Linked DNA regions of Elephas maximus indicus. The protein of the gene in region 3 purifies or fractionates together with the protein of the main gene of each other region. This does not show direct contact. Links are inferred from orthologs where the notes say so. Each region holds a gene or a part of one and is shown on either strand. Other genes may lie near its edges.

The links.
Region 1: the proteins of SF3B4 (region 3) and DDX42 purify together in Homo sapiens (affinity purification with mass spectrometry; 3 studies listed by BioGRID and IntAct, with this or other methods). This does not show direct contact. The link is inferred for Elephas maximus indicus from reciprocal best matches to the Homo sapiens genes SF3B4 and DDX42.
Region 2: the proteins of SF3B4 (region 3) and ILF2 fractionate together in Homo sapiens (co-fractionation; 3 studies listed by BioGRID, with this or other methods). This does not show direct contact. The link is inferred for Elephas maximus indicus from reciprocal best matches to the Homo sapiens genes SF3B4 and ILF2.
Region 4: the proteins of SF3B4 (region 3) and SNRPA1 purify together in Homo sapiens (affinity purification with mass spectrometry; 3 studies listed by BioGRID and IntAct, counting the BioPlex papers as one, with this or other methods). This does not show direct contact. The link is inferred for Elephas maximus indicus from reciprocal best matches to the Homo sapiens genes SF3B4 and SNRPA1.

What each region holds. Positions count from the first base shown.
Region 1 is NC_064837.1:54,987,334-54,994,627, reverse strand, and holds the start of DDX42 (ATP-dependent RNA helicase DDX42), read right to left. Parts: upstream 3,019-7,294; 5' UTR 3,012-3,018; coding exon 2,932-3,011; intron 846-2,931; exon of another isoform or gene 674-845; intron 1-673. UniProt on the Homo sapiens protein: ATP-dependent RNA helicase that binds to partially double-stranded RNAs (dsRNAs) in order to unwind RNA secondary structures. Unwinding is promoted in the presence of single-strand binding proteins.
Region 2 is NC_064821.1:191,504,757-191,512,284, reverse strand, and holds the start of ILF2 (interleukin enhancer-binding factor 2), read left to right. Parts: upstream 1-4,519; 5' UTR 4,520-4,621; coding exon 4,622-4,626; intron 4,627-5,275; coding exon 5,276-5,335; intron 5,336-5,855; coding exon 5,856-5,898; intron 5,899-6,351; coding exon 6,352-6,456; exon of another isoform or gene 6,457-6,489; intron 6,490-6,998; coding exon 6,999-7,076; exon of another isoform or gene 7,077-7,325; intron 7,326-7,421; coding exon 7,422-7,524; intron 7,525-7,528. UniProt on the Homo sapiens protein: Chromatin-interacting protein that forms a stable heterodimer with interleukin enhancer-binding factor 3/ILF3 and plays a role in several biological processes including transcription, innate immunity or cell growth.
Region 3 is NC_064821.1:184,069,570-184,076,882, forward strand, and holds the start of SF3B4 (splicing factor 3B subunit 4), read right to left. Parts: upstream 3,012-7,313; 5' UTR 2,962-3,011; coding exon 2,928-2,961; intron 2,467-2,927; coding exon 2,338-2,466; intron 2,073-2,337; coding exon 1,530-2,072; intron 1,217-1,529; coding exon 1,010-1,216; intron 1-1,009. UniProt on the Homo sapiens protein: Component of the 17S U2 SnRNP complex of the spliceosome, a large ribonucleoprotein complex that removes introns from transcribed pre-mRNAs.
Region 4 is NC_064831.1:93,106,348-93,113,802, forward strand, and holds the start of SNRPA1 (U2 small nuclear ribonucleoprotein A'), read right to left. Parts: upstream 3,021-7,455; 5' UTR 2,950-3,020; coding exon 2,868-2,949; intron 876-2,867; coding exon 728-875; intron 79-727; coding exon 1-78. UniProt on the Homo sapiens protein: Involved in pre-mRNA splicing as component of the spliceosome. Associated with sn-RNP U2, where it contributes to the binding of stem loop IV of U2 snRNA.

The DNA.
Region 1 (7,294 bases), on a different chromosome or scaffold from region 3:
AGAAAGGGATGTCATGTTTGGTAAAGGGCCAATGAAAATAAGGGAAACCCATGATGAGACCGAATGACACAACAGCCACCATGATGGACTCTAACAAACCAACTATCATGAAGATGGCACATGACCAGGCAAGGTTTCGTTCTGTTATACTTAAGGTCTCTATGACTCAAGGGCAACTAACACTAACAACATCACTGAGGTGTTCCCTAAAATATCCATTTAGCCTTTGGATAAGGACTACAAAGTACCCATGATAGCGAAGGAGAGATACCAGTGTCTGTGTGTATAGAATCAAAGTATCCATAGAGTCAGTTTACAAACAGAACCTTGAAACTCTTGATGCCAAAAAAAAAATCTTAATTACACAAGTTATCAAAGTTTCTTAGAAAAACAGAAAACTCAGAAAGCAAAAAGGAGCAAAATCTAAAATTTTGTGTTTTTACTTGAAATTTCTTCTCCCAGGTATGTAATTTTGTTGATCTCTTTCCCTATTTTTTTTCTATGTACATGCGCCTAACAATGTGTATACACGAAAATATATAACTAAAAAAAAAAAAACTGAAACCATACTGTACAGTTTTAGTGAGCTGATTTCATCTACTCATACACTGTGAATGTCTTTAAATGTCAATAAGTATATCCCTCCACTACTGCCATACGCTGTGAAACATACCTGTATACCACCACTGGTCTGTCAGTTTTTCGTACTACGGTGGGTTGTATGTTGTTGTAATGCTGGAAGCTATGCCACTGGTGTATCAAACACTAGCAGGGTCACCCATGGCGGGCAGTTTCAGTGGAGCTTTCAGACTAAGACAGACTGAGAAGGATCTGGTGTTCTACTTCTGAAAAAAAAAAAAAAAAAAAAAAAAAACTGGCCAGTGAAAACCTTATGACAGCAGTGGAACACTGTCTGATACAGGAGCCGGAAGGTTGGACGGCACTCAAAATACAACTGGGGAAGAGCTACCTCCTTAGAGTCTATCTTAATGCTGTGAATGGAGTAAACTTTTGGGACCTTCATTTGCTAATGTGGCACAAGACTCAAAATGAGAACAGCAAGCAAACATCCACTAATAATCGAAATGTGGAATGTACGAAGTATGAATCTAGGAATATTAGAAGTTGTCAAAAATGAAATGGAACCCATAAAGATCAATATCCTAGGCATTAGTGAGCTGAAATGGACTGGTATTGGCCATTTTGAATCAGACAATTACATGGTCTACCATGCTGGGAATGAAAAACTGAAGAAGAATGACATCCCATTCATTATCAAAAAGGACATTTCAAGATCAATCCTGAAGTGCAACACTGTCAGTGATAGGATGATATCCACACACCTATATGGAAGACCAGTTAATACACCTGTAATTCAAATATACGCACCAACCACTAATGAGGAAATTGAACATTTTTAACCAACTTCTGTAGTCGAAATGGATCAAACATACCATCACAGTACACTGATAATTACCGATGACTGGAATGTGAAAGTTGGAAACAAAGAAGGAGGATCAGATAGGTGGAAAATAAGGCATTGGTGACAGAGACGACACTGGGGATGGTATGATAGAATTTTTTCAACAACATAAATGGTGACTATACATGTGTGCCTTGCCCAGTGGAATACAAAGGAATCAAATCGACTACATCTCTGGAAAGAGATGGTGGAGAAGCTCAGTATCATCAGTCAGAACAAGGCCAGGGGCCGACTGTGGGACAGACCATCAATTGCTCATATGCAAGTTCAAGTTCAAGGTGAAGAAAATTAAAACAAGTCCATAAGAACCAAAATATGACCTTGAGTATAACCCATGTGAATTTAGAGACCATTTCAAGAAAAGGTTTGACACACTGAACACTAATGACCAAAGACCAGACAAATTTTGGGATGACAACATACATTAAGTAAGCAAAAGGTCATTAAAAAGACAGGAAAGAAAGAAAAGACCAAAATGGACGTTAGAAGAGACGCTGAAGCTTGCTCTTGAATGTAGAGTAGCTAAAGCGAATGGAGGAAATGATGAAATAAGAGTTGTACAGAAAATTTCAGAGGGCAGCTGGAAAAGGCAAAGTATTACAATGAAAAGTGAAGACACCCAGAGTTAGAAAACCAAAAGGGAAGAACACACTCAGTATTTCTCAAGCCTGAAAGAAGGAAGTCTCAAGTTGCAATATTGAAGGATTCGATGGGCAACATACTGATTGCTGCAGGAAGCATCAAAAGATGATGGAAGGGATACACATACGTTCGACCATTTCAGGAAGTAGTATACGATCAAGAGCCAGCTGTACTGAAGGAAGAAGTCCAAGCTACACTGAAGGCACTGGCAAAAAACAGGGCTCCAGGAACTGACAGAGTATCAATTGAGATGTTTCAACAGATGGATGCAGTGCTAGAGGTGTTCACTTGTTTACGCCAGGAAATTTAGAAAACAGTAACCTGGTCAACTGACCAGAAGAGATCCACATTTGTGCCCATTCCAAAGAAAGGTGATCCAATGCAAATGCGGAAATTATCAAACAATATCATTAGTGTAACACTCAAGTAAAATTTTGCTGAAGATTATTCAAAAGCGGTTGCAGCATACATTGACAGGGAACTGCTAGAAATTCAAGCCAGATTCAGAAGAGGACGTGCAATGATGGATATCACTGCTGATGTCAGATGGAACCTGGCTAAAAACGGAGTACACTAGCAAGATGTTTACCTGTGTTTTACTGACTATGCAAAGGCTTTCAACTGTGTGGATCATAACAAATCATGGATAACACTGCCAAGAACGGGAATTCCAGAACGCTTAATTGTGCTCATGAGGAACCTGTACATAGACCAAGAGGCAGTCGTTCAAACAGAACAAGGGTGTACTGTATAGTTTCATGTCAAGAAAGGTGTGTGTCAGGGTTGTATTCTTTCACCATACTTACTCAAACTGTATGCTGAGCACATAATTCGAGAAGCCTGGACTATATGAAGAACATGGCATCAGGACTGGAGGGAGACTCATTAACAACCTGCAATAGGCAAATGACAAAACCTTGCTTGCTGAAAATGAAAAGGACCCAAAGCACTTACCGATGAAGAGCAAAGACTACATATAGCCTTTAGCATGTATTACACCTCAGCATAAAGAAAACAAAACTTTCACAACTGGACCAATAAGCAACATCACAACAAACAGAGAAAATATCGATGTAGTCAAGGATTTCATTTTGCTTAGATACAGAATTAACACCCATGGAAACAGCAGCCAAGAAATCTAACGATACATTGAATTGGGCAAATCTGTCACAAAAGACCACTGATCTAAGCCATGGTATTTTCAATCACCTCAGATGCAAGCAAAAGCTGGGCAATGATTGAGAAAGCCTGAGGAAGAACTGATGCCTCTGAATTATGGTGTTGGCCAAGAATATTGAGTATACCACGAACCATAAGAAGAACAAACAAATCTGTCTTAGAAGTACAGCCGGAACGCTCCTTAGAAGTGAGGATGGTTGAGACTTTGTTTTACTTACTGGACACGTTATCAGGAGGGACCAGTCTGTGGAGAACATCATGCTTCATAAAGGAGAGGATCAGCAAAAAAGAGGAAGACCCTCAACGAGACGGACTGACACAACGGCTGCAACAACTGGCTTAAACAGCAACGATTTTGAGGATGGTGCAGGATGGGCAGTGTTTGATTCTGCTGTACATGGGGCCGCTATGACTCCACAGTACCTAACAACAACTGTTTTATGTTGTGAAACATATCATTATACCTGTATCTTTGTGAATACCCGTAATTATTGCCTTAGAATCAATTTTTAAAATGCAACTACTTAGTCAAAAGGAATATTAGTAATTAAAGTTTTAGAAAGTTTAATTACTACTTACACCTATGGAAAAGTATCTACTATACGCTGAGTAAAAGAAGTATAAAAGAAGGTAGGTGGTATGATCTAATTATGTAAGATCATGTGTTACAAATGCAGAGACAGCTGGAAAGCTGTTTATCAAAATGTTAGTGGCAGTTATTGTTGACTTTTACTTTTTCCCTTGTGTTAAAGTTTACGATTAATAATAATTAAAATGCTTACAATGGGCTCTGAAATCCACGTGAACAAAAAAACCAAACCCGTTGCCAGGGAGTCAATTCCAACTCACTGCAACCCTATAGGACACAGTAGAACCGCCCCCACTAGGGTTTACAAGTAGCAAGAAGTTCCAAAAAACTGCTTTATTAAGGTGTATAAAGCATTTAGAGATGACACTGTTGCAGGGACCAGAAAAACATGCTGTGTACTTTTCTGGTTCTACATCCCTCCCCTATATACAGGTTTTGTTTGAGTTGCCACTATATAGCACTTGAAAACTCTGTTGGCATAGCGGTTAAGTGCTACGGCTAATAACCAAAAGTCTGGCACTTGGAATCCACCAGGCGCTCCTTGGAAACTCTATGGTGCAGTTCTACTCTGTTCTATAGGGTCGCTATGGGTTGGAATCGACTCAACGGCAATGAGTCTTTTTATTTTATATAGCACTTTGTTCAGTCTGCTTAGTATTAGATTTCAGTTACACGGTGTTTATCTTCATCCTTGGAAACCCTGGTGGTGTAGTAATTAAGAGTTTCAGCTGCTAACCAAAAGGCCGGCAGTTTGAATCCATTAGGTGCTCCTTGGAAATCCTATGTGGCAGTTCTACTCTGTCCTATAGGGTCGCTATGAGTCAGAAGCGACTCGATGGCAACGGGTTTGTTTTTTCTTTTTTATCTCCAGCCTTAGACTGAGAGCTCCAGATAGGAACTGTCATTACTCAACTTGGACTTTCCGTAACAGTAAGCACCCTACAGTAGGTACTTAGTAAGTACAGGAAACCTGTGAGAGCCAGAACTTGACAGGACTGCCTTGTTTTTCCAGGTCTCGCAATTTTTCACCTTTGACATGGTGCAGTCACCACTTTTCTATCACTTTCTAAAAAAAGACTCGTTGCTGTTAAGTCAATTTGAACTCGTAGCGACCCTACAGGACAGAGTAGAACTGCCCCATAGAGTTTCCAAGGAGCACCTGGTGGATTTGAGCTGCCAACCTTTTGGTTAGCAGCCACAGCACTTAACCACTACGCCACCAGGGTTTCCCGTCACTCTCAACTTAGTGGAAACCAAGTTTTCCTTCTCTGACAGGTTTACCTGTTTTACAGGTTTTACTGCACTAATTTGCATTTAACTAAGGCCATCTGCTAATTTCTTTAAAAATCCAGTAAGAGGAATGAACATAATTCTAGTGAGATGAGATTTAGTAAGAATATTCACAAGCAAGAAAATTTCAGCATCTGATAATACTTAAGCCTGCTTTTACAAGAGCTGCTCCTAAGCACCCAAAATGATGGACTAACCTGTTTTCCCAGTACATACCATGTAGAATGAGGGGCTAATAAATGAACTATAGAAATCAGAAGGCAGGCAAAGAAGGGATGGTGGAAAGACGTTCAGGTTCAGATGAATTAAGAATAGTATGAACAATCTTTAAGTGAAAAGGAAAACTTCCAATGATTTACTGGAAGCCTGCTGCAGACGGTCAGGCAGTGTACTAAAGATAACAGTCCCTGTTCTCCCCATGAGTTCACAGTATAATCTTAGCCAACAGCTACAAAACAAGGTGAGTGTTCTAACAAAGGTACTGCACAAAATGCGTTCACTGGTGGCTCAGGAGAGAGGAAACAACACAGGCTGAGTGGGGGGAAGGCATGGAAGTTTTCAGGAGATGACACTGATGCTAAGTTTTGAAATTTGAAGAAGCATTAGGCTAGGGAGGAAGTATTCGAGGACAGCATTTTTGTTTGAGGGAACAATAAGTACTACTACAATCAGAGAACTGGAAATAGTTCAGTGCAACTAGAGTTCAGTAGGACATTTGGGAGAGCTACACGACACGTGTCCAGAAAGACAGGCAGGGCCCAAGTGGCCAGTTTGGTATTCTATACTAAGAATATACAAAACAATATTCTGCTGGCCATAAGGCATATTTTTAAGCAAAATGGAGAATTCTTCAGGTCAGTGCTTTAGAAAGCACAGATGAGACAGCAGGAAAAGCTGGAGGCAAGGAAAGTGATTATAAGATTACTAACAGAAGCAGGGAAGCCCTGGTGGTGTAGTGGTTAAGTACTACAGCTGCTAACCAAAAGGTCGGCAGTTCACATCCACCAGACGCTCCTTGGAAACTCTATGGGGCAGTTCTACTCTGTCCGATAGGGTCCCTTTGAGTCAGAATTGACTCAGGGCTACGGTTTTTTTTCCCCCCAATGGAAGCAGGGATTCATACAAATACTAGTACACCAATGCTCACTGCAGCATTATTCACAACAGCCCAAACTGGAAACAACTCAAGTGTCCATCAACAGATAAATGGATAAACAAAATCTGGTATATATACATACAATGTTATTCAGTCATAAAGAGAAGTTCTGACACATACTACAACATGGATGAACCTTGAAAATATGCTGAGTGAAGTAATTCAGACACAAAAGGATGAATGTTATATGATTCTAGTTATATGAAACATCTATAACAGGCAAATGCAGAGAGAAAAAAGGTTATTAGCGGTTACCAGAGGCTGGGGGAACAGGGAGTTACTGCTCAAGGGGTACTGAGTTTCTGTTTGGGATGATGAAAAACTTGGAAATAGTGGTGATGATAGCAGAACACGGAGAATATAATCAATGTTACCGAATTGCACTCTTAAAATGGCAAATTTTTTTTATTATTTATAGTTCACCACAATAAAATTAAAAGAGAGAGAGAAGTCAGGTAAGCAGGAGAACTAAAAAGCCTCTATTGGCTGTACACCAGGCGTCATCAGGGAAAGCAGTCTCAGTGGAGCAGCAGGGCAGACCCTACCCTGCAGGGTTGAGAAGTGACTGGTATGTACGTAGACGGTAAAGAGGAATACTGACGGTGGGGGCATTAACAGAGCAATTTTGTTTTTTTAAGAACTTTAAACATGTTTATAAGCAAAAGCCAACAGAGAAATATTGAAGATGGGGGGGGGGAGGCGGCAGCAGAAAACTCACAGGAACAAGGTCCTTGAGGTGACCCAAAGAGGCAAGATCGAAACCTTTAACAAGAAAAGCAAGTGACTCTTCCTCCTCAGCTGGAGGGAAGGAGCAAAGGATGGGGCAAAGAGACAGACCACCACCTTCTGTCAGTTTGTCATACTGTGGTAGCTTGGGTGTTGCTATGATACTAGAAGCTATGCCACCAGTATTTCAAATACTGGCGGGGTCACCATGGTAGACAGGTTTCAGTAG
Region 2 (7,528 bases), about 7.4 Mb from region 3:
GTTCCTATATACGGAATTCTAGGAGAATTTTGAATATTGTTATGGTCTAGAGCGGAGGTTGCAAATGGCGCTCACGGGCCAAATTCAGATGGCAGGCATGTTTTGTTTGGCCTTCACTCTCTACCTATATTTTATTTCATTTCCCGCATTAAAAAATTAGCAGACGACACGTAAACATCTCAATTTCTGGCTTTTCTTGAAATATCGGAGGAGCAGGCAATATCGGTCCTGCAGCCCCCATAATCAATCAACTGGAACAAATTACTCCTCAGCTCCTTTGGATGAGCCTAGTTCATCCAAGTTCCTACCCTGCTTCACTCATTCACATCACCTGCCTAGTCATGGTAGGAGTTGTTTTCAGACTGACCTAGCACGTAAGGTGTTTGCACACGGGAATGACTGAGGAGGAGAAGCTGCTGCTAAGGGCAGACCCTGAAAGCTTTTGTGTGACTGTGTTAGTTATCTAGTGCTGCTATAACAGAAATACCACAAGTGAATGTCTTTAACAAAGAGAATTTATTCTCTTACAGTCCGCTAGGCTAGAAGTCCGAATTCAGGGCGCAGCTCCAGGGGAAGATTCTCTCTGTTGGCTCTGAAGGAAGGTCCTTGTGATGCATCAATCTTCCCTTGGTCTGGGAGCACCCCAGTGCAGAAACGGCAGGTCCAAAGGACGCACTCTGCTCCTGGCGCTGCTTTCTTGGTGGTATGAGGTTCCCCTGTCTCTCTGCTTGCTTCTCTCTTTTATATTTCAAAGACATTGGCTTAAACACTATCTAATCTTGTATATCTCATCAATATAACTGCCACTAATCCATCTCATTCCATCATAGTGATAGGACTTGCAACACATAGGGAAATCACATAAAATGGTGGACAATCACACAATACTGGGACTCATGGCCCAGCCAGGCTGACAGACATTTTTGGGGGACACAACTCAATCCATGACAGTGATAGACTAAGGATTGCTTAATGTCTGTATCCTGTAAGGGGGGCTCCAGAGGCAGTGGAGGTAGATAGGAGATGTTTCAAAAGTAGAATCAATTAGATTTTTGGGAAGGGAAGACAGTTTACAAATAACTGAGGCTGGGTGGGGATGAAAACAATTTTAGTCTGTTGAGTTTGAGAAGACTGTGGATACCCAAATGGAGGTGTCTCATTAGCTACTAGGTTAGTGGAGCTGGAGTCAGAAGAAATGACTGGACTAGATATACAGTTTAGCCCTGAGTTGTTATGCAAATGATGCACGTATTATGTTTTTGCCAACGGAGCAACCCCCTTGCACGTTATTTTCCTAGGCAGTATGTGCGTTATATGTGTGGATACGTTATTTAGGTGTGCAGGTTATTTGCGAAAAATATGGTTATTGAGCTCCTCTTTCAATATCGCTGGACTAAATAACTGAGCTGGAGACAACTACAAGTGCTGAAAGAAATATTTTTTCAAAAATCAAAGAACTAATAAGATAGTGAGGAATTGTTGGTCTGAGAGATGAAAGGACAAGAAAACAAAGAGCTGAGCCCAGCTGTAGGGCTGTTTTTGCCCTGGGTTCATTTGCTGATCCAGAACTGGTGGCAGAAAATAGGCTGGCGGGCTGTTGTTTTTCTTAGCTGCTTTTCAGTGGATTTGACTCATGGCGATCCCATCTACAATGGAATAGGAGGTTGCCCGGTCCTACACCATCTTCACGATCCTTGGCATTCTGGAGTCCATTGTTGCAGTCACTGTGTATTCTGAGTGCCTTCCAACCTAGGGGGCTCATCTTCCAGCACTATATTGGAAACTATTCTGTTGTGATCCAGGAGATTTTTACCGGCTAATTTTCAGAAGTAGATTGCTAGGCCTTCCTTTCCAGTCTGTCTTGGCCTGGAAGCTCCACTGAAACCTGACCACCATGGGTGACCCTGCTGGTATTTGAAATACTCGTGACATAGCTTCCAGCATCACAGCAACATGCAAGTCACCACAATATGACAAAGTGACAGACAGGTGGTAAGGCTAGTGAGACAAAAATTGGAATGCAAATATCCCCAAAGGTGAGGACTCTGGTAAACTACCTTCCTGTTTTAGGTTAGGACCGACCCCGAAAGGCTGGACTCCTAGGGGAAATTTAGGAGAAGAGTTAACCTGAAGTAAATAGATTACTTTTGTGGGAATGGGACAGTGCTGTATTTCCAATAGTATGGTTCTTTGATTTGACATTAAAAGCTATATAATGATTCTTATTTCATGAAAGATGAGCTTTTATTAAAAAAAAAAAGTAAGTAGAAAATCCAGAACCAAAATATTCAAAAGCCAAAATTAAGGATCAATCGATACATTTAACAGCAGGTTAGACTTGATTGAGGATCAATTAGTGAATTGGAAGAAAGGACAGAAGAAACTACCCAGAATAAAGCATGGAAAACAAACGAACAAACAAAAAAGAAAAGGAAAACATGAAAGAGACATAGAGGATACTGTGAGAAAGGCCAACACACCTTTACTTGGAATTTCAGGAAGGAGAGAAATAATAGAGTAGAAGCAATATTTGGAGAGAGGTGGCTGAGAAGTTTAAAAATGCATGAAAGGCGTCAAGCCATGGATTCTTGAAGCTCAACAAACCTCAAACAAGGTTAAGAAAAAGAAAATCCATACCTGGACCCAGCAGAATAAAACTGTAGAAAACTAAATCAAAGAAAAAATATTTAAAAAAGAAAAAAAAAAGGATAGATTACTTTCAAAGGAGCAGCAATTAGACTGACAAGTGTTTTTTCTACAGCAAAAAATGGAAGCCATAAGACAGTAGAATAATATTGTAAAGGTGCTGCAAGAAAATAACTTTCAAGCTTGAATTCCATACCCAGAGAAAATATCCTTCAGTAACAACGGTGAAATAAAAATATATTCAGACAAACCAAAACCAAGAGAGTCAGCCACCAGTAGGGAAGCACTGAATTCTAAAGGGTATTCTTCAGGCGGAAGGAGTATTACCCCAGATGGAAGGTTGGAGATGCAGGAAGGTATAAAGAGCATTAAAATGGCACACATATGGGCTCCTCTAAATGACCATTAATTTAATAAATAAGTATTAAAGTCTTCTGAGACTTAAAATATAGAATTTAAATACTGTACATATACACACCTACACCTACCCGAGATTAATGAATGTATAGGACCCCAAGAAATCTTTTACAAAAATGTTCATAGCAGCTTTACATATATGACCTCAAATGGAAACAACCCAAAAGTGTTTGCATGTCTCAGCCTGTTTTCGGTCCTGACATCATCAACAGGAGAATGGATAAACAAATGGTGATATATTTACACAAGGGAATGCTATTCAGAAATAAAAAAGAATAAATTGTTGATCAATGCAAATCTGTGCGAGCATCTCAAAACGAGTTGAGCGAAAGAAGCCAGGCATAAAAGAGTACATACAGTATAAGTCCACTTATATGAAGTTCAAGGACCGACAAAAACTAATCCATAATAATAGAGATCAGAATAGTGATTGCCTCTAGGGGCAGGGCAAAGGGGTGTGAAGTGATTTTCGGAGGTCATGGAAATGTTCTTTGTTTTAACCTGGGTGGTGGTTACATGGGCATAATACATTACTCAACATTAAGAAGTAGAAAAAAATGTATGTAATTTTCAATTGATGGGGGAGGGAGGGACGGAATAATAAACGTTACTCTATGAATGCAAAAGAAGGCAAGAAAGGGGAGAAAAGGGATTACAGGTGAGACAACAGAGAGCACATAGTAATACGATGGATTTAAATGCAAATACAGTAAATCCGTACATGTTGTTGACGAAACCTGGTTGAAGGATGAAATATTCCAGAGAATTTGTAAAGTGAGGCGAGAACTGGAGCGAAGCTGGAGAATAGGGATGGTTCGCTACTTTTCTCCTTGCCGCTTCCCAGGGTCCCATCATCTGAGTCATCTCTCCAAGACGTGCTTCTGTTTTCTTTGTAATCCCTCACCATTCAGGGTTTTTCCTCTCTGAAATTAGCTTCTCTTGTCTCAAGTTTCTAGCTTTCTGCACTGCTGCCTGAAATAGCTAAAATCCCCATCTCACTTGCTAGTGTTAAACACAGCTTCCGAATGCCGCATTTTTGAGGCAGGAGAAATTAGAAACATGAAGCTCACATCTACTAAAGAAATTGAAATAACGCAAATTCTTCTTGCTGGGGCAATCAAAAAGCTTCCGGATAGCAGAGGATGGTTTCGATCCATCGACCTCTGGGTTATGGGCCCAGCACGCTTCCGCTGCGCCACTCTGCTACCTGGTAAGGCTGTGTCACAAAACTCATATAGAAAGTTTTCAATGTACTGGGGGGGGGGGGGGGGGGGGGTGTCTGATTTGTTGCACAGCGCCATCTAGCGTCTGTTCAAAAATTGTAGCCTTTGCTGTTAAACCTGCTCTTATTGGCTGATTCCTGACACACCATGCTTTTTTTTTAATTGGTTCTCCGGTTTGCCAGGATAAACCAATAGGCGTAAGCGATGGGGTAAGGCGGGAGCCAATCGCGCCGGGTTTTGTTGGGACACGCCGGCAAGCGGCCTCCACAGTTGTTGGCTCCTCGGGAGGGAAGAGGCGGTTTGTGTGGCCTCCATTGTTCGGGATTTAGGGCGCCATGAGGTAAGGGGGCCAGGGTGCCCTAGGAATGTTTTCAGTATTTGACTGGAATTTTGGGGAAGTCGGAGGAGCTGAAGAGGCCGCATATCGGAGGGCTAGCCTACGACCTGATAACTCCTGTCCTGGAAGACGGGGAGGGGTCGGAGGCCGGTCGGGTCGGGAAACTGGGGCCTGGGAATGGGGTGGGTCCTGGAAGTGGGGAGGCGGGTTTGACACCTTCGTCCTTTAGGGGCTTAGGTAACGGGGGTGTGCTCAGGTCCCGGGAGGAGTACCCCCCATTGAGACTGAGCAGGCTGGAACGTGTCGCATTCATCCTCAATGCCAAGTGCTTGATAGAGTATATGCGCCTATGTTATTGATAGTCCCAGAAGTATTAGGATTGGCGTGTCCTAGGGATTATGGTGTGTTTCTCGTAGGGCCTCGGTATCTGGGCCCCGTCATTACCTGGCGTATGGGTTGTGATTATCCAGAATGAGGAGGTCCTAGGGGAGGGGCTGGGGGAGAAGTGTAAATGATTGGGATGGGGGTCGCTTGACTTCCCAAGGGAGGTTTAGAGCGATGGAGGCAGGCTAGCTTGAAATGATGTGGCTGGTAGAGTGGAGATGCTTTCATTGAAGTCAAGAGAAAATAAAATCCTCTTATGCATTTCTAGGGGTGACAGAGGCCGTGGTCGGGGTGGGCGCTTTGGCTCCAGAGGTGGTCCAGGAGGAGGGTGAGTGCCAGTTTTTAACATCTTTGCACTGGTTGGTTCCTGTTTGAAACACCTAAATAAGAGTAAATGGTCCGCTTTTGTGAGGTCCATCTATGGTTTAGCAATACATGCTGTCCTGTTAAATGATGAGTTTGACCCCACTTTCCTAACAAGGATACCCCCCAGCAGACTCTCACTGATTCGGAGGACAGACATGTTTTCAAAATTCCTCATACATTATAACCACGATATATGATCATATTTACCAGTTGTCAGTGGTTGGGTGAAAGGTTGGGGTGCAGTATGCAATTATAATTTTGAGTGATCATTTTTTTCTCTCAAAGTTTTATATGTTTAGGAGGCTCAGTGACCTCTGGAATGCTAAAAGATGTACGTACCTCTTGATTTCAGCATGTAAGAGGTGCTAGAAAACCAAATTTTTGGAAGGAAACATAAAAACATTGTTTTGGCTTGTGCCAGAAATCTCATTTGATTTGATTTCTATGTTGTGAATAATTTAGACTATTTTTTTTTGTTTTAGGTTCAGGCCCTTTGTGCCTCATATCCCATTTGATTTCTATTTGGTGAGTACTACTTTGGGTTAATATGAGTTTCTTGGCCACAGTTTATCTGTAGATGTAGAGATGGAGCCCAACATCTCCCTGTAATGAAGTCAAATGGTGGGTAGAGTAGGAAAAGGGGTCTGTGAATGGGTATGGGGTTTTGTAGATTGCTTCACATAAACTGTCAGCAGGGTGAAGAGAGAATTCTTTGGCTACTGTTGTCAGTAATATGATTATAATCTTTATTTTGGATAATTAATTGTATTCCTGGCTTATCTGTTAATAATAAGGTAGTTTAAGCTTAAATTATGGCTGTTGCTTACAGATTGTATCCGTGTATTAACATCTTCAGGAATAAAACCAAGTGCCGAATTTTCTATTTTCATTTTTTCTGTTGTAGCAGCAGAAATAAGTCTTTCCTGTATATCATTTTTGGTAAATAGAACATGTAATAGTTGTTTATTTCTGGTTCAGTGTGAAATGGCCTTCCCCCGGGTCAAGCCAGCACCTGATGAAACATCCTTCAGTGAGGCCTTGCTGAAGAGGAATCAGGACCTTGCTCCCAATTCTGCTGAACAGGTATGTTCTCTTGGCTTCCCTTCTGAGATTTCCCTGAGAAGGTTAGAAAAGTAGATATGGGTGAGTTTAAAAATAATTTTATCAAAGCCTAAACCCTGCAGAAGGTTTAATTATTCTCATTTCTCATATGAGTGGAAACAGCCAGGTGAATACATGAACAGATTATATATGCAGTCAGATTTTTATTGGGGGAATCTATGGGATCAAAATTTGTTCTGGCATATTGAAGGCCAGCAGGGTCAAATTGTTTTTAAAGCCCTTATGTTGGTACTGGAACCCTGGTGGTGAAGTGGTTAAGAGCTTGGTTACTAACCAAAAGGTTGGCAGTTCAAATCCACCAGATGCTCCTTGGAAATTCTATGGGGCAGGTCTGCCTTGTCCTATAGGGTCGCTATGAGTTGGAATCACTTCATCAGCAATGGGATTTTTTTTAATGTTCGTACCGACTCAGCTTGTATAGAAGGGATTAGAGAAAAATACTCAAACCTTGAGAAACTGTAATTTTTCACTTTAGGTTATTTTTGTTTCATGCTGTTTTTCAGGCTTCTATCCTTTCTCTGGTGACAAAAATAAACAATGTGATTGACAATTTGATCGTGGCCCCAGGGACATTTGAAGTGGTGAGTTTTTGTTGATTTAGTTCTAGGAAAGGGCGGGCTTAGTACCATGGATGTTTCCTTGGCTCCTGTCTGAATTCTTCAGTTGCCTTTTATCCAAATCCCAGCCTAAAGTGGAAGAGTACAGTGGCATTCCTTTGTAGTACTGATCTTGGAAATGAGACACATACCATCGTTATCAGTTATCCATGATTTAGCAGGCTCTCATGTGGTTGTTTTGGGGATATGATTTGATCTCTGCTGCATCCAGATCTGGGTAATAAAGAAGCTTGTTGTAATAGAGCTCCAAAAAGAACAAGGCAGACTTTTTTCTTCTAAATTTTTCTTCCGCAATCCCTTTTCCAACAGCAAATTGAAGAAGTCCGACAGGTAGGATCATATAAAAAGGGAACAATGACCACAGGACACAATGTGGCTGACCTGGTGGTAATCCTAAAGATTCTGCCAACATGTGA
Region 3 (7,313 bases):
CTGCCCTGGTAATGAATTTGGATTTTACTCTACAGGTAAAAGGGAAAAACAGAAGAATTTTAACCCAAGGGTATGTGAACACCCATGTTTTAGAAAAATTATTCTATGAAAGACAGATCAAAGGCAGAGAAAACTGGAGTGAAAGTGACCAGTTACACGATTGCTATGATAACTTAGGTGTGAAATAAAAGAATGAGGGCTTGAACCAGGACACTGGCAATGTGGGTAGATGCCAGAGATTCTAAGAACAGGGTAATAGAGGATAGTCTAATACAGCTCCCAAATTTATGAATTAAGCATCTGAAAACAAAGAATATGACAGAAAAAGTAGGTCTGAAGGGAAGGAGTAGAAAATTTCATTTTTAGTCATGTTTGGTTTAAGGTACCAAAGGGGTAGCACAGTACAGCTAGCTGTCCATTAAACAGGAGAATTATGGGTCTGGAATGTTAATAACCATGGACTAAAGAAACAGACCTAGAAAGTATCAATGAATAATGAAAAATATAAAAATACGCGGAAAAGAGAACCAAGCACAAGATCCTAGGTGCAGGCAGGGAAAAAGGAGCCTATGAAGGAGGCTGAGATTGAGAAGTCAGAGAGAGGTGGAGGAGAATCCAGAAAAACAAAAGCCAAACCAGACAAGAATTTCAAACAAAAGAACACGGCCAGTTTCATGTACAGCAGAGGTCAGAGCAAAAAAGAAGGGTCCCCTAGGTTTGGAAATAGGTCACTTTTGGGGTGGAAATGAAAGGAAAGAATACAAGTAAAAGTTAAGGAAACAAAAAGTTGCAAGTTTAGGTTACTCTTCAGGAAAACTTAAATAAGAAATGGAACCGTGGCAGCACATGTTAGTGTAAACAATATAAAGTATTTTGTTTTTGTTTACATAAAAAAAAGGAGAGCTCTGGAACTACCTATTTTTGTTGAGGGACAAAAGGCAACAGCAGGAGTGATAACAAAACCCCTCTACCAAGCTCATCCCTTCTTTTCCCAGCAAAGAACACTCACCTGGATGGGGCATCCCACCTGGTGGGAATGGATGAGGATGTGAATGTCCATGTGCAGGATGTCCAGCCCCAGGGGTTCCTGCTGATGGGGGGCCATGTCCTCCAGCCCCAGGAGGCATAGGTGGCGGCGGCATGGCTGGGGGTATACCGGGTGGAAGGGCTCCAGGAGGTGGTACTGGGGGTGGGAAAGAGCCAGGAGGAGGCATACCTAAAGAAGAAATGGAAGAAGAGTTACTAGTACTGAGAAGATGATATCTTTAGAGAGCTTGTGCCAATCAGACCTCTCCAAGAAGGATGACCTCTTTTCCCCTCTTCCCAGCTCTCTTAAAGCCAGCAACAGTGTTAGACAACTCAAACAACTTCACTCTCCTGGAGAAACCCAACAACTTTCTTCCACACCACAACCATCACCCCCCCCAATGCCCTCATCACCCACTGACTTGCTGTCCTTTTTTCCGTTCTTTTCCACCCTTCTGTCCCCTCAACCCCAAGACAAACACATTTTGAATCAAAAGCTTTACCTGGCGGAGGAAGCCCAGACCCCAACGATGATACCACAGGATTGGGGGCAGACGGTGGAGGGGGTGCATCTGCAAACAGCTGGTGAGGACGGTCAGCCTGGGAGAGTGGGTTTTGGGCTGCCAGAAGTCGTTCAGCTGCTGAGCCATGGCGCTCACCCTTAGAGTCCTTCTTAAAGGCATAAGACACAGTGATAGGGCGGTTACATAGGTACTGCCCATTCATGGCCTCAATCGCTGCATCCGAAGCATCAAATGAAGCAAAATTAATAAAGGCATAACCCTTGGAGTTGCCTGTGTCAGGGTCCCGCATAATCTTGGGGGTTTGTAAGATGACCCCAAAGGCGCTGAATGTATCATAAAGCAGCTTCTCGTCAATCTCTGGGTCCAGGTTCCCAATGAAAATGTTGGCCCCTACATCCAGGTTTTTGTTGTGAGCTGATGCTTTGTTCACCCGTATTGGCTTCCCATAGAGTTTGATCATGTTCATGATCTTAATGGCATAGTCAGCATCTTCCTCACTTAAGAATTCCACAAAGCCATAACCTGTGTATAAAAAAGGGAAGGTTAACAAATGAAGTGAAGAGACTCGAAAGGGGGTAAAACTCATCCCCCACCAAGGCACAAACAAGAAAGAAAAAAAAAAAAACCTCACTTCAATGAGAATGGTTCTGGAAACAAATTATGAACTGAGGTTCAAAAGAAAGGATTCTTTAAACGCTACTCCTTACAAACACTGTGACTACTACAGAGCCCACCAGGACCACTACATCCCCTCAATACACAAATGCATGTCTTGCTAGGTACTCACCTTGGTGCTGGCCAGTGACTCTATCCTTTGGCATGTGGGTGTTGACTACAGGCCCTGCCTGGAGAAACAGCTCCCATAACAGTGGTTCGCTAACCTTCTCATCCAGGCCCCCCACGTACACAGTAGCATCTGAAGGAAAAGTGAAGGTTAAGGTAGGTGTGAGAGTATAACAAGAAATGAAGGGGACAAGAATATGAAAATGCAATTCAGGCAAGATAACTGGGGGTGGGTTTAGGGGATAAGAGCAAAAAGAAAAAAAAAAAAAGATGTTAGATCAAGCCCTTAAATCCCCTTCTTCCCAGGACCTAGAGAATCTTCGGAAGTCCAACACCGTGTTCTATTGAAAATTCTACCTTTCTCCGTGGACTTTGTATTTTTTTGAGTGGGAAGGCAAGAGGAAATTGGGCACAGAAGGCATCACACATACAGGCCTCAGCAAGCACCCGACCACCCCGCCCCCGGCAGGCATGGCTGCCGGTCCCGCGCTCTACGAGGCGATCCAGTCACTCGCCCCGGCAGTGACCCTGCTGGCTCTAGTCGGAGCCTCCCAGCTCCCCTGTGCCCATTCCGGGCTCGTCCCCTCTAGTTACCCTGATTCCTCTCAGAGATCGGCCCGGCCGCCATGGCGAACGAGCTCCCGCCGTCTCCAAGCAGCAGCCCCGCCCCCTGACCGCAGTCGCGTCTTCCACTTCCGGGGCAGAGGCCGTGGTAGGGTGGCGGGCGCGGCCGCGGCAGGAGAGGAGCCGGAAGCGGCCGGAGCCATCTTAGGAGGCGCCGAGATTGGGCGCGGCTTGGGATACTCTTGCTGTGGGGTGTTGGTCTTGCTCCGGGCCGCGCCTGCGAGCGCCCGAGCTGGGAGGGGAAACGGAAACGTTCAGACCCCGTAAAGCAGTGCTAGAGGTTAAACCATGCAGCTGCTCCCGAAAATGTAAATTTGAAAGCTAGAAACAAAACTGCTTTTCATGTATCTTGTAGCCAGGTGATCTTTTTTCCTTCAGAAAAGTGTTGAGGAACCCGCGCCCAAGGGCTCGGCTGCCTTCCACCTTGGCTCGCAGCCCTCGCCAGATTCGGCTTCACAGCTCCGGCCTGGGCTTGAGGTATTTTGTTTTCCCTCGGGCGGGTATTGCGGAATGTCTGAGCGGGGAGTGACGTCGAAGCTCGGCTAGCCGTTATTGCAGGGGGATGATGGGACACCAAAGCCAAGGGGTGGCTGGGATTGAAGCCCAGAGCCTTGTCTCAGCCGCCTGAACACACTAGCCCAACAACAACTCTTGATATGCTCCCCAGCTCTTGCCACATCTACCCCTAAAGTGGGAGGCACAGAGAAATGAACCCCTTTTGCCAAATTACATGTGAATTCTGCAGACCCTCACCTGACTCCATTCTCTTATCTCGTAATAATATGGTGGGTGCCTTCCTCTCTTGGGTCACACCCACCTTCCACCCACCACTCTTTGCTACCTAGAATCATCTATTCAGATAAATGCCAGCAACGTGTATAAATACCGTGCTTTAATCAACCTTTTAAATACAAATGTCACTGCAAAAATACACAGCTGGAGGAGGCAGGGTGTCTCCCATATCCACCCCATTCTCATGGAGAACTATAAGAAATATTAATTGGAATTAAGCAGCAAGAGGGGTAAGAATGAGGTCACTAGGCCATCTTGTTGGGATGATGACCAGCATCTCTGATCTCACAATTTAACAGCTGATATCCAAAAGAGGTGGTAATGCCTTGAAAAAAATGGGAGATCACATTATAGATTTTGTTTACTGATTTCTTCAAATCACGAGAAACAAGCAAACAAAAAATCTCGAGGAATCAAAACACACAGGACAAGAGTTGGAGAAGGTTAGCGCCACCCCCTGCAATGGAAACTCAGGCCTGCTAAGTAAGCTTGTTTAAGGGCTGGAGTGTGGAAGCTGAGGCAGCAAAACCAGATAAGAAAAATCAGGATTAGACAGAACCCTCCCTCAACCCAGGCAGGCCTCTTCCCTGTCTGTGACAATGCCAGCAGTTTCAGCAGGGTTGAGAGAGAATGGTATTTGGGTCTCTCTTCTTAGAGTGATCTTCAGGAGATAGTCTTGGTGGTCTTGGCGTCCATTTCCTTAATAGCTCCTGAAGATGGGATAGCTCATCCTGGAGGCCAGAGATTGTGGGAGCTGACAGGCCCATCTGGGGATGGGGCAAAGAGGGGTAAGAGGAATATTATTGCAGTTCTAGCCCTCTCCTAAGATACACTACGTCCGGTGTCTTTAATTCTCCTTCTCCTTCCAACTGTGCCTGGGGTTCCACTTGATCTAAGCCACAAGCAGTTTCCCCCGCCCTCCCAAAACTACCCAGTTTGATACCAACAGGAGTGGTACCTCACTTTCCAGCCCCTCCCCCTAGCCCCTTGCCATTCCAACTCCGGCTCATCTGGTTCAACAGTCAAGCCCTTTCTCCCACTCCCAACCTCTGTCTTCCCTTCTCACCTGGACTTCAGGCCTTCCCCTCAGGTAGCAGCGTTTCCAGAGCCTGATCTGGGGTCCCAGATTTCCAGGAAGCAGTAGCCCTGGGGGTAAAGGGCAAGCCCCCCAATGTGAGGGGAGCCCCCACTCCTGGTCAGCCAGGCTTTCAGTGGAGATGGCTAGTCGAGGAAGCCAACGAGAAGAGACGGCCAGTAGGGAGGGACTGTCCCGCCAAGGACAGAGGTGATTAAGGGGTGTCAGGGCCCCTCTAGAGAAGAGCCACACAGAACTGGGGGGTCCAGGAACCATGAAGCGTGACTGGGGGGGAAAGAGAAATCATTTGGCAACCTAGAAACCAGACTACCCAGTTTTCCCAAGTTAGGCCAGGAAGAGGCATCAGCTGCCACTGCACTAGTGATTGGAATTACAAGCCTCTCCCTGAGAACTGTTTATCTACTCTCCTTATTAGGGTTCAAACTAGGCCTCAGGACTGACTGAAGTTGATTTAGGGAAACCTGTAAAAGTGAATGCATGAGACAGGAAGAATAATAAACAGAGATGAGAAGGACAGAAAGGATGCCTTCTATGCCATTCTAGGGTTTCTGTCTTTCTGGGGACAGTCAGGGCTCATAAGTGACACCTGCATAACAGGAGTGGGATAGCTCCCCATGGGCAACTAAGATACTGTCTTCCCACTTTTCCCCGTCTAGTGGGATGAATCTGTGGGAAAGTCAGGGGAATTTAGAAATCACTGACACCTCACCTGTCGTCTACGGAGCCAGGAATCTGGGCAGTGCTCTGGGTCATAGCCAGGATTATGGAATTGTAGGATTTGTTCATTGCTGTAGCGTAAACCCCAGTCCCAGACAGAGAGCTGCTGGTTAACAGAGTTCCCAGGTAGGGGCTGGGAGTTCCGTGGGGTGTACACTTGTGTATAGGAGCTGAACTGAACAGAGGAAGCAAGAAAAGGGATGGTTAAACAAACAAAAAATACAGTCCTTTTCCCAAATCTAAAGAGAAATCATCATGAAACGCTCACCTCTTACTCCAAAAATCAAATATAAGGCAAAAGTCCAGTCTTGAGAATGAGCATCAACCTCCTCATCCCCACCCAACACTTCTTTACTCAAAACAAATCAAGGCTAAACTTCAGATAGTACATCTCAACGGGAAAAAAAAAAGACAGGTCAGAAATGGAAGTCACTGACCTGTCCACTCTGCTTTCCACGCTCCCAGGGATTATCTCTCAGGAACGTAAGGGTGTCAGGGACTCTGACACTGTCATGAAGAGCAAGAAGGAAAAACTCAGAGAATTCAAACTCAGCTGGAAACTGCTGGAGGAGCTGCCAGACACAATCAAGGAAGAGGAGAAACACTGGAGCCTGAGAAGAGGGAAATTAAGAGATTAGAAGAGATGGTGAAGACTTAAGGGGGAAGATCACAAAATGATGAGGGGTGGGGGACACAGGAACGGGGCACTAAGGAGGTCAGGGAATGGAAATCTGAACTGAGGGTAGTAGGGGATTGTGGGACCTCTCTCATTTTGGTCTCTGTCTAATCTCAGCCTAACCTTAGGATCCTCTGACCGAATTCTCCTACAATGGATTATACTATGTATTATTCTCATCCCCTTACTTCTTTAGTAATACCCCCCAATACACTCCCAAATCCTCACCTCCTCACTGGCCCCAGTTCCCCCAAGCCGGGTCAGGAAGGGGTGTCCAGCTGCCACCCACTCTCGTTGTACTAGTGATTGAAAGCCAAGCAATGTTCGGGCTTCGGGGGCTGAAAGCAGCTGGACGAGTGAAGAGAGGAGGCCATTGAGATCACGATCACCGAGCTCTGGGTGATAAAGAGAGGGAAGGAGCAAAGAAAAGGGGCCAAGAAACTAGGGCAGGAGAGAATGGGAAGAGGAAACATGGCAAGGAGAAGTGAGAGGCACAGAGGAGAAACATTTTGGGTTAGGTAGGATTGAGAGGGCACATAGAAGGAGTGAAGAGAAAATAAAGATCTTGAATGACTCACTTCATAGACTCCACCTGAGTAGAAAAACCCAGCTCAATGTAGGAGGCACAGTCACATTTGTCAAACCAGCTTTGGCATTGCCCTTCCCACCCCAACCTCAGCACCCATGCTGTGATTGAAGGGAGGGAGCAGAGGGGCGAGAATCGAGAATCGTAGGGTTAGGGATGACAAACTACAGTGGGGAGGCAGAGGTAGTATGGAAGGGTAAGAATTAGAGCTCATGGGTAGTTTCTGGTAACTGAAGAAGAAGCTAGTCCTACAAGGGGACAAAAGAGCCTTATGGGCCTCCTTCTCTGGGCAAAATCCAATCGTGGGTAAAGGAAAAAGGCAAGGAGTGGAGTGAGATGACCCAAGGAACTCACCTTGAAGTACTACAGAGCGAACTTTGGAGGTCACTAAAACTGAGATGTCACTGGCTTTTCGGAGACAAGACCTGAGGGACAGAGGTGTAAAATAAGCCTGGAGGAAGACAGTGATGGGTCATGGGATGGCATAGA
Region 4 (7,455 bases), on a different chromosome or scaffold from region 3:
AGTTCCACAAGACTGTTGTTGGTGAGAATGAGTTCTGTCAAACAGGGGAGAGACTGATCAAGTCCCTCACCTATACGGCTAAAATAAAAATAATGGCTCTTTTAATAAAAGTGAAAAGTCAGTAGGCTAATGATTGATCTAAGTCCTTATTCCCTCCGAGGGTTTCAGACTCCAGCCTTGGAAGGAGCCGTGGGGATCCTTCTTCCAACCCCCTATCTGATGGGGAAGTGAAGCACAGGGAGGAAATCATGCTCAGGCTCTGAGGGCAATGGCACACTGGGATGACTTAGAGCCCATGCCTCCTACAGCTGCCTAGGGCTCTTTCCATTTCTACAGCTCCCAGTGAAACCTAGGAAAACGAGAGAGTCCTGAGTAAAACATACTACCAAATAGTCCTCTTCATAACTTTTCTGTGTGTGCACCACAGAAATTCACAATTCTGCATTCATAGCTCAGCTACAAGGCATACAACTATATCATAAGTGAATGGTTAATTTATGAGAAATGTGCCTATCTGAAAAAGCCAAAACCACACCACACAGTACTTCCTAAAAACGTTATCTACAGACTTTCATTAACTTTTTCCTATATTTGCACAGAGCCGAAAGACAATCAAAGAAGATTTCAGTTTAAATAAATGAGTAATATTCTAGAAATCAGGTGTAGCTAAATACAGACAGAAGAAGACACGAAGTGAGAGAGATACTCAGCCAAATCAGACACTGACCATATTCTGTTATTGTTCACCAATAATGTTTTCAGTCTTCTCAACAGAGGAAAACCATCCAGTTTCCTGATTTCATTGTCAGAAAAATCAATAGCATCAAACTGGTCTAAGGTAGCACCTAGATTTTCAATGACAGGAATTTTGTAACCTGTAAAAGGGAAGAAAAAGAGAGAAAGAAAAAACACAAAAGGTTATCACACTATCATAATTAAAATGCACCTTGTAACATTAGCAACGTTTCATGGTAATTTGACTCAAAGCTTTCATTCACTGATGAAGTGTTTACCTAGCACTTAGGATGTGCCAAACGTTGTGCTAGGTATTGGAGTTAAGATGTTGAACAAGGGAGCCACAGGCCCCGGCTGCTATGAAGCTGACAGCCTAGCAGTGGACATGGAGATGATTACGACAATGAGAATGAGGACTTACTAATAATACCAATAACTACCATTTGTAAGAATATTTACAAGGTGCTTCCCACTATTCAAGTAGCGTAAGTAGTTTTAGTCATTTTGACCCACAAGTTAAGTTTTAAGTTTTTCGTCCATTAAAAATGAGATGAAGAAATGGAGGCTCTATGATTTAATTAAGGTCCTAGAGCTAATTAAGTGGGGTAACAGGAATTTACACTTTGAGCTACCAACTATCAGTGTCCGACCCTTGTTCAAACATTGTGGACAACAGTTCTCAGCCTCTTTTGCATTAACACAGGCCAGTCCCCTAGAACTCATCATGACATCATGGTCCCTGCCCCTAACTGTAGTGATTCTGACAGGTGTGCAGTGATACTGCACTCCTGCTTTAATTTGTTTTTCTCTAATAACTAATGAAGTTGAACACCTTCTCATGTGTACTGTTCATTCCAACAACTTCTTTCACAAAGTACACAGCTCCACTTCACAGTTGTTTATACACAATGGTAAATCATACTGTGTAACAATTTGCTCAAATACTCACTGACTTGTGGGCATAATTAGGTGCTAGAAAAAAAGAAATAAACCCAGCTAGAGATTTACGGCCTTGGAAACCCTATGGGGTCACTATGAGTTGGAATCAGCTTGATGGCAGTAGTTTTTTTTTTTTTTTAGAGTTTAAGTACATAATTCAGAGCTGTTAAGAATTACACCAGAGTAGATACTGCCGTGTATATTCTCAACGACAACAATAAAACGTATTATTGTTTTTTAAAAAGGTAAGTATTGCACCAAAACAAGTATTCTCAACACTGGGAGAACTTCAGAAACAGAAGGTAGAGATCCACATGCACAAAGATAGTGGAGGTGGTGAGTTACCACTGAACTGAGCCTTTGTCTAAAGAATGGGAATTTCAACATAATGAAAGCACTGGAATTTCCCAAAAGTTCGGCAAAGAATCTAAGCAGAAAGGAGCTGAGCCAGAGCACTGATGCTCCCCCGAGGGTGTCCTGTGCGGGCAAATCTCAGACCAGGATTGGAGAATGGTGATCCCCAGAGAAGCTGCTCTTCACATCCCTTCTAAAGCCATCTCCTGAAATGCCAACTAGTTAACTCGAGCTCCCCACTTCTTGAGAAGCCTAACTAGGGGTGAAAGACCCGCAGGGATCGGAATAGGTCCACGGGCTTCTACCACGTACACCACGGGATTCAGTGAAGGGGCCAGGCCCTGCGGCGGTGGTTAGAGAGACCCCGGAGCAGGTCAAACAGTTCAACACTTTTTAAATGTTTTGACAGAAGGCAAATAAAGCTAACAAGAAGACTGGAGAAAGGGAACAGTGGCTTTGGTTCCCGAACCTTGCTTCCTTCCGCATAAACTAGGGATAACGAGCGCGCATGCGATCTATCCTAACGTATTTACTGACAAGCGATCCCGCTCGCCCTCCACCCGAGTCGGACTTGCCCGGCCCTCAGGGTCCCGACTGCCAGCCCCGCCGCACACGGCCTCACCGGGGCCCGCGGGGACGGCTCAGGACGCACCTGATTCAGCCGGGTGCGTGCGAAGAAGCGGGGTCGACGGACACCTCGGGGGAGCCTACTGCGCGGTCTGCTGGGCGGCCGCCGGGCTGTCCCAGCGCCCAGCCCGGCCTGGAGCCCAGAACGGCGGCGCACGCGGCGGGGCGCGACCGCGAGGTCTCCGTGCCGCCTGCCCGGTCCCCGGACTCACCCCGGAGGTCCAGCTCGCGGTCCCGCACGGCGTTGGTGTACTGCGCCGCCTGCTCGATCAGCTCCGCCGTCAGCTTCACCATCCTGCCGCCACCCGCTTCCCGGCGCCCCGGCCCGCTGCTTCCCGCCGACGAGATCTCCCAGCGTGCCCCGCGCCCCGCCGCCAGGCAGCACCGATCGCAGCCGGCGCATGCGCGCGCAGCTCGTCGGCCAGGCCGAAGCAATCGAGAGGCCACGCCCGCGGCTCGTTCTTTCCGAAGGTGCTGACGGGCGTTGAGGCCGTATCCGGTTTGGGGTTACTTCCTGGGGCGTAGCTGTACCATGGAGGGCTCCTGGTTCCAGGCGTTTGTGCCCCATGATCATAAGCGGATGATCCAGCTCAGGTGCTCATACTGTGTCCCGGCCCGAAGCCCAGCACCAGGACAGGGACCTTAAGCCCTGGACCCTTCCCTGAATCCCGTGGGTCCTGTCCCTCCAGCTACAGCTGGCCTCACGATATACACACTGTTCTCATGTGTATAGTGTTCTTTCCAATTGCTTCTTTCCTGAAGTGTCTATTTCCGGTCTCTCTCTCTCTCTTTTTTTTTTTGGCCCCCATTGGGTTGTCTGCCTTTTCATTATTGATTTGTGGTTTTTTTTGGCCCCCATTGGGTTGTCTGCCTTTTCATTATTGATTTGTGGGAATTCTTTATATATTCTGGATACGAGCACACTCTGTGGCGTGTCTTTTTCACTCTTAATGCTCTTTTTTGATGATGAGAAGTTTCTAACTTTTATGTAATCCAGTTTATACTGTCGTTTATGATTAGTGGGTTGTATGTGTTTTGCTTAAGAGATTTTCCTCACCCCCAACATATTTTCCTATAGCATCTACTAGAGGCTTACTTGATTTACGTTTCACATTTAGCTCTACAATCCACCTGGAATTGATTCTTTCAGAACTTTTTATTGAAGTGTGATGTACCTACAGAACAAACAGAGTACACCTAAACAGCTGACATCCAGATCAAGAAACAGGATATTACCACACCCTGGAAGCTCCCCTCTTGTCCTCTTCCAGTCACTAACTACTGTACTGGGTTGATACAGCCTCCCCCCACCATCCAGAACCTCAGAATGTCATCTCATTCAGAAGTAGGGACCTTGCAAATATAGCCAAGTTAAGATAAAGTCGTACTGGATTAGGGTTGGCTCTAAATCCAACACGACTGGAAGGAAATTTGGACACAGACACAAAAACACAGAATGCCGTGTGATGACAGAGGCCAAAATGGGAGTGATATCTATGAGCCAAGGATTGCTGGCAACTACACGGAGCTAAGAGGAGACAAGGAAGGATCCTCCCTAGAGCCTTTAGAGAGACCATGGCCCTACTAACACCTTAATTTCAGAGTTCTAGCCTTCAAAACCATGAGAGGATGAATTTTTTTTTTTGGAGAAAAATGGGTTTAGCATTTTAAATAGACGTTATTTTTAGAGATGTTTTAGGTTTACAAAAACAGGGTTCAGAAAATAATTTGAATTTACCCATCCCCTCCCCACATTGTTTCTCCTATTAATATCTTGCATTCCTGTGATATATTACAATTGGCGAACCAATACTGATACATCATTATTAACAAGTCCATAGTTCACATTAGGGGTCAGTCTTTGGGTGGCATGATCCCACAGGTTTTTAAAAATTGTGGTAAATATGCGTAACAAAATATTTGCCATTTTAACCATTTCAAAGTGTACAATTCAGTGATTTTAATTAAATCCACCATGTTGAGCAACCATCACCACTATTCATTTTCAAATGGTTTTCATCCCCCTTGTTGTTGTTGTTAGGTGCCGTCTAGTCGGTTCCGACTCATAGCGACCCTGTGCACCACAGAACGAAACACTGCCCGGTCCTGTGCCATCCTTACAATCGTTGTTATGCTTGAGCTCATTGTTGCAGCCACTGTGTCAGTCCACCTCGTTGAGGGTCTTCCTCTTTTCCGCTGACCCTGTACTCTGCCAAGCATGATGTCCTTCTCCAGGGACTGATCCCTCCTGACAACAGGTCCAAAGTATGTAAGATGCAGTCTCACCATCCTTGCCTCTAAGGAGCATTCTGGCCACACTTCTTTCCAAGACAGATTTGTTTGTTCTTTTGGCAGTCCATGGCATATTCAATATTCTTCACCAACACCACAATTCAAAGGGGTCAACTCTTCTTCGGTCTTCCTTATCCATTGTCCAGCTTTCACATGCATATGATATGATTGAAAATACCATGGCTTGGGTCAGGCGCACCTTAGTCTTCAAGGTGACATCTTTGCTCTTCAACACTTTGAAGAGGTCCTTTGCAGCAGATTTGCCCAATGCAATGCGTCTTTTGATTTCTTGACTGCTGTTTCCATGGCTGTTGACTGTGGATCCAAGTAAAAGGAAATCCTTGACAACATCAATCTTTTCTTCGTTTATCATGATGTTATTCATTGGTCCAGTTGTGAGGATTTTTGTTTTCTTTATGTTGAGGTGTAATCCATACTGAAGGCTGTGGCCTTTGACCTTCAACAGTAAGTGCTTGAAGTCCTCTTCACTTTCAGCAAGCAAGGTTGTGTCATCTGCATAACGCAGGTTGTTAATGAGTCTTCCTCCAATCCTGATGTCCCGTTCTTCTTCCAATAGTCCAGCTTCTCGTATTATTTGTTCAGCATACAGATTAAATAGGTATGATGAAAGAATACAACCCTGCCGCACACCTTTCCTGACTTTAAACCAGTCAGTATCCCCTTGTTCTGTCCGAACAACTGCCTCTTGATCTATGTAAAGGTTCCTCATGAGCACAATTAAGTTTTCTGGAATTCCCATTCTTCGCAGTGTTATCCGTAGTTTGTTATGATCCACACAGTCGAATGCCTTTGCATAGTCAATAAGACACAGGTAAACATCCTTCTGGTATTCTCTGCTTTCAGCCAGGATCCATCTGACATCAGCAATGATATCCCTGGTTCCATGTCCTCTTCTGAAACCAGCCTGAATTTCTGGCAGTTCTCTGTCGATATACTGCTGCAGCTGTTTTTGAATGATCTTCAGCAAAATTTTGCTTGCATGTGATATTAATGATATTGTTCTATAATTTCCACATTCGGGTGGATCACCTTTCTTGGGAATAGGCATAAATATGGATCTCTTCCAGTCAGTTGGCCAGGAAGCTGTCTTCCATATTTCTTGGCATAGACGAGTGAGCACCTCCAGCGCTGCATCTGTTTGTTGAAACATCTCAATTGATATTCCATCAATTCCTGGAGCCTTGTTTTTCACCCATGCCTTCAGAGCAGCTTGGACTTCTTCTTTTAGTACCATCGGTTCCTGATCATATGTGACCTCTTGAAATGTTTGAATATTGACTAATTCTTTTTGGTGTAATGACTCTGTGTATTCCTTCCATCCCCCTACCCATTTTCAAATGGTTTTCATCTCCCTAAGCAGAAACTGCAGCCCAAGTGGTGCAGTGGTTAAGTGTGTGGCTACTAACCAAAAGGTCCGTGGTTCAAACCTACTAGCTGCTTCTTTTGAGAAAGATGTGGCAGTCGGCTTCTGTAAAGATTTATGGCCTTGGAAACCCTATGAGGTAGTTCTACTCTGTCTTACATGCTTGGCATTTCTCAAGCTGAAAGAACTGAAGAAAAAATTCAAGTTGTGAGTTGCAATGTTGAAGGATTCTTTGGGGAAAATATTAAACAATGCAGGAAGCATCAAAAGAAAATGGAAGGAATACACAGTCACTGTACCAAAAATAATTGGTCGACGTTCCACCATTTCAGGAGGTAGCATATGATCAAGAACTAATGGTACTGAAGGAAGAGGTCCAAGCTGCCCTGAAGGCACTGGCGGAAAACAAAGCTCCAGGAACTGACAGAATACCAATTGAGATATTTCAACAAACAGATGCAGAGCTGGAGGTGTTCATTCATCTATGCCAAGGAGTTTGGAAGACAGCTACCTGGCCAAACAACTACAAGACTTGATCCATATTTGTGCTCATCCCAAACAAAGCTGATCCAACAGAATCCAGAAATTACCAAACAGTATCATTAATATCACACGCAAGTAAAATTTTGCTGAAGATCATTCAAAAGCAGTTGAACAGTACATCAGGAGGAAACTGCCAGAAATTCAAGCCAGGTTCAGAAGAGGACATGGAAGGAGGGATAGCACTGCTGATGTCACCTGGATCCTGGCTAAAAGCAGAGAACACCAGAAAAAAGATGTTTACCTGTGTTTTATTGACTATGCAAAGGCATTGTTGGACTGTGTGGATCATAACAAATTATGGACAACATTTCAGAGAATGGGAATTCCAGAACACTTAATTGTGCTCATGAGGAACCTGTACTTAGACCAAGAGGTAGTCATTTAACAGGACAAGGGGATACTGCATGGTTTAAACTCAAGAAAGGTGTGTGTTAGGGTTTTATCCTTTCACAATATTTATTCAGTCTGTATGCTGAGCAGATAATCTGAGAATCTGGACTATCTGAAGAAAAATGTGGCGTCAGCATTGTAGGAAGACTCATTAACAACCTTCGATATGCAACTGATACAACCTGGCTTCC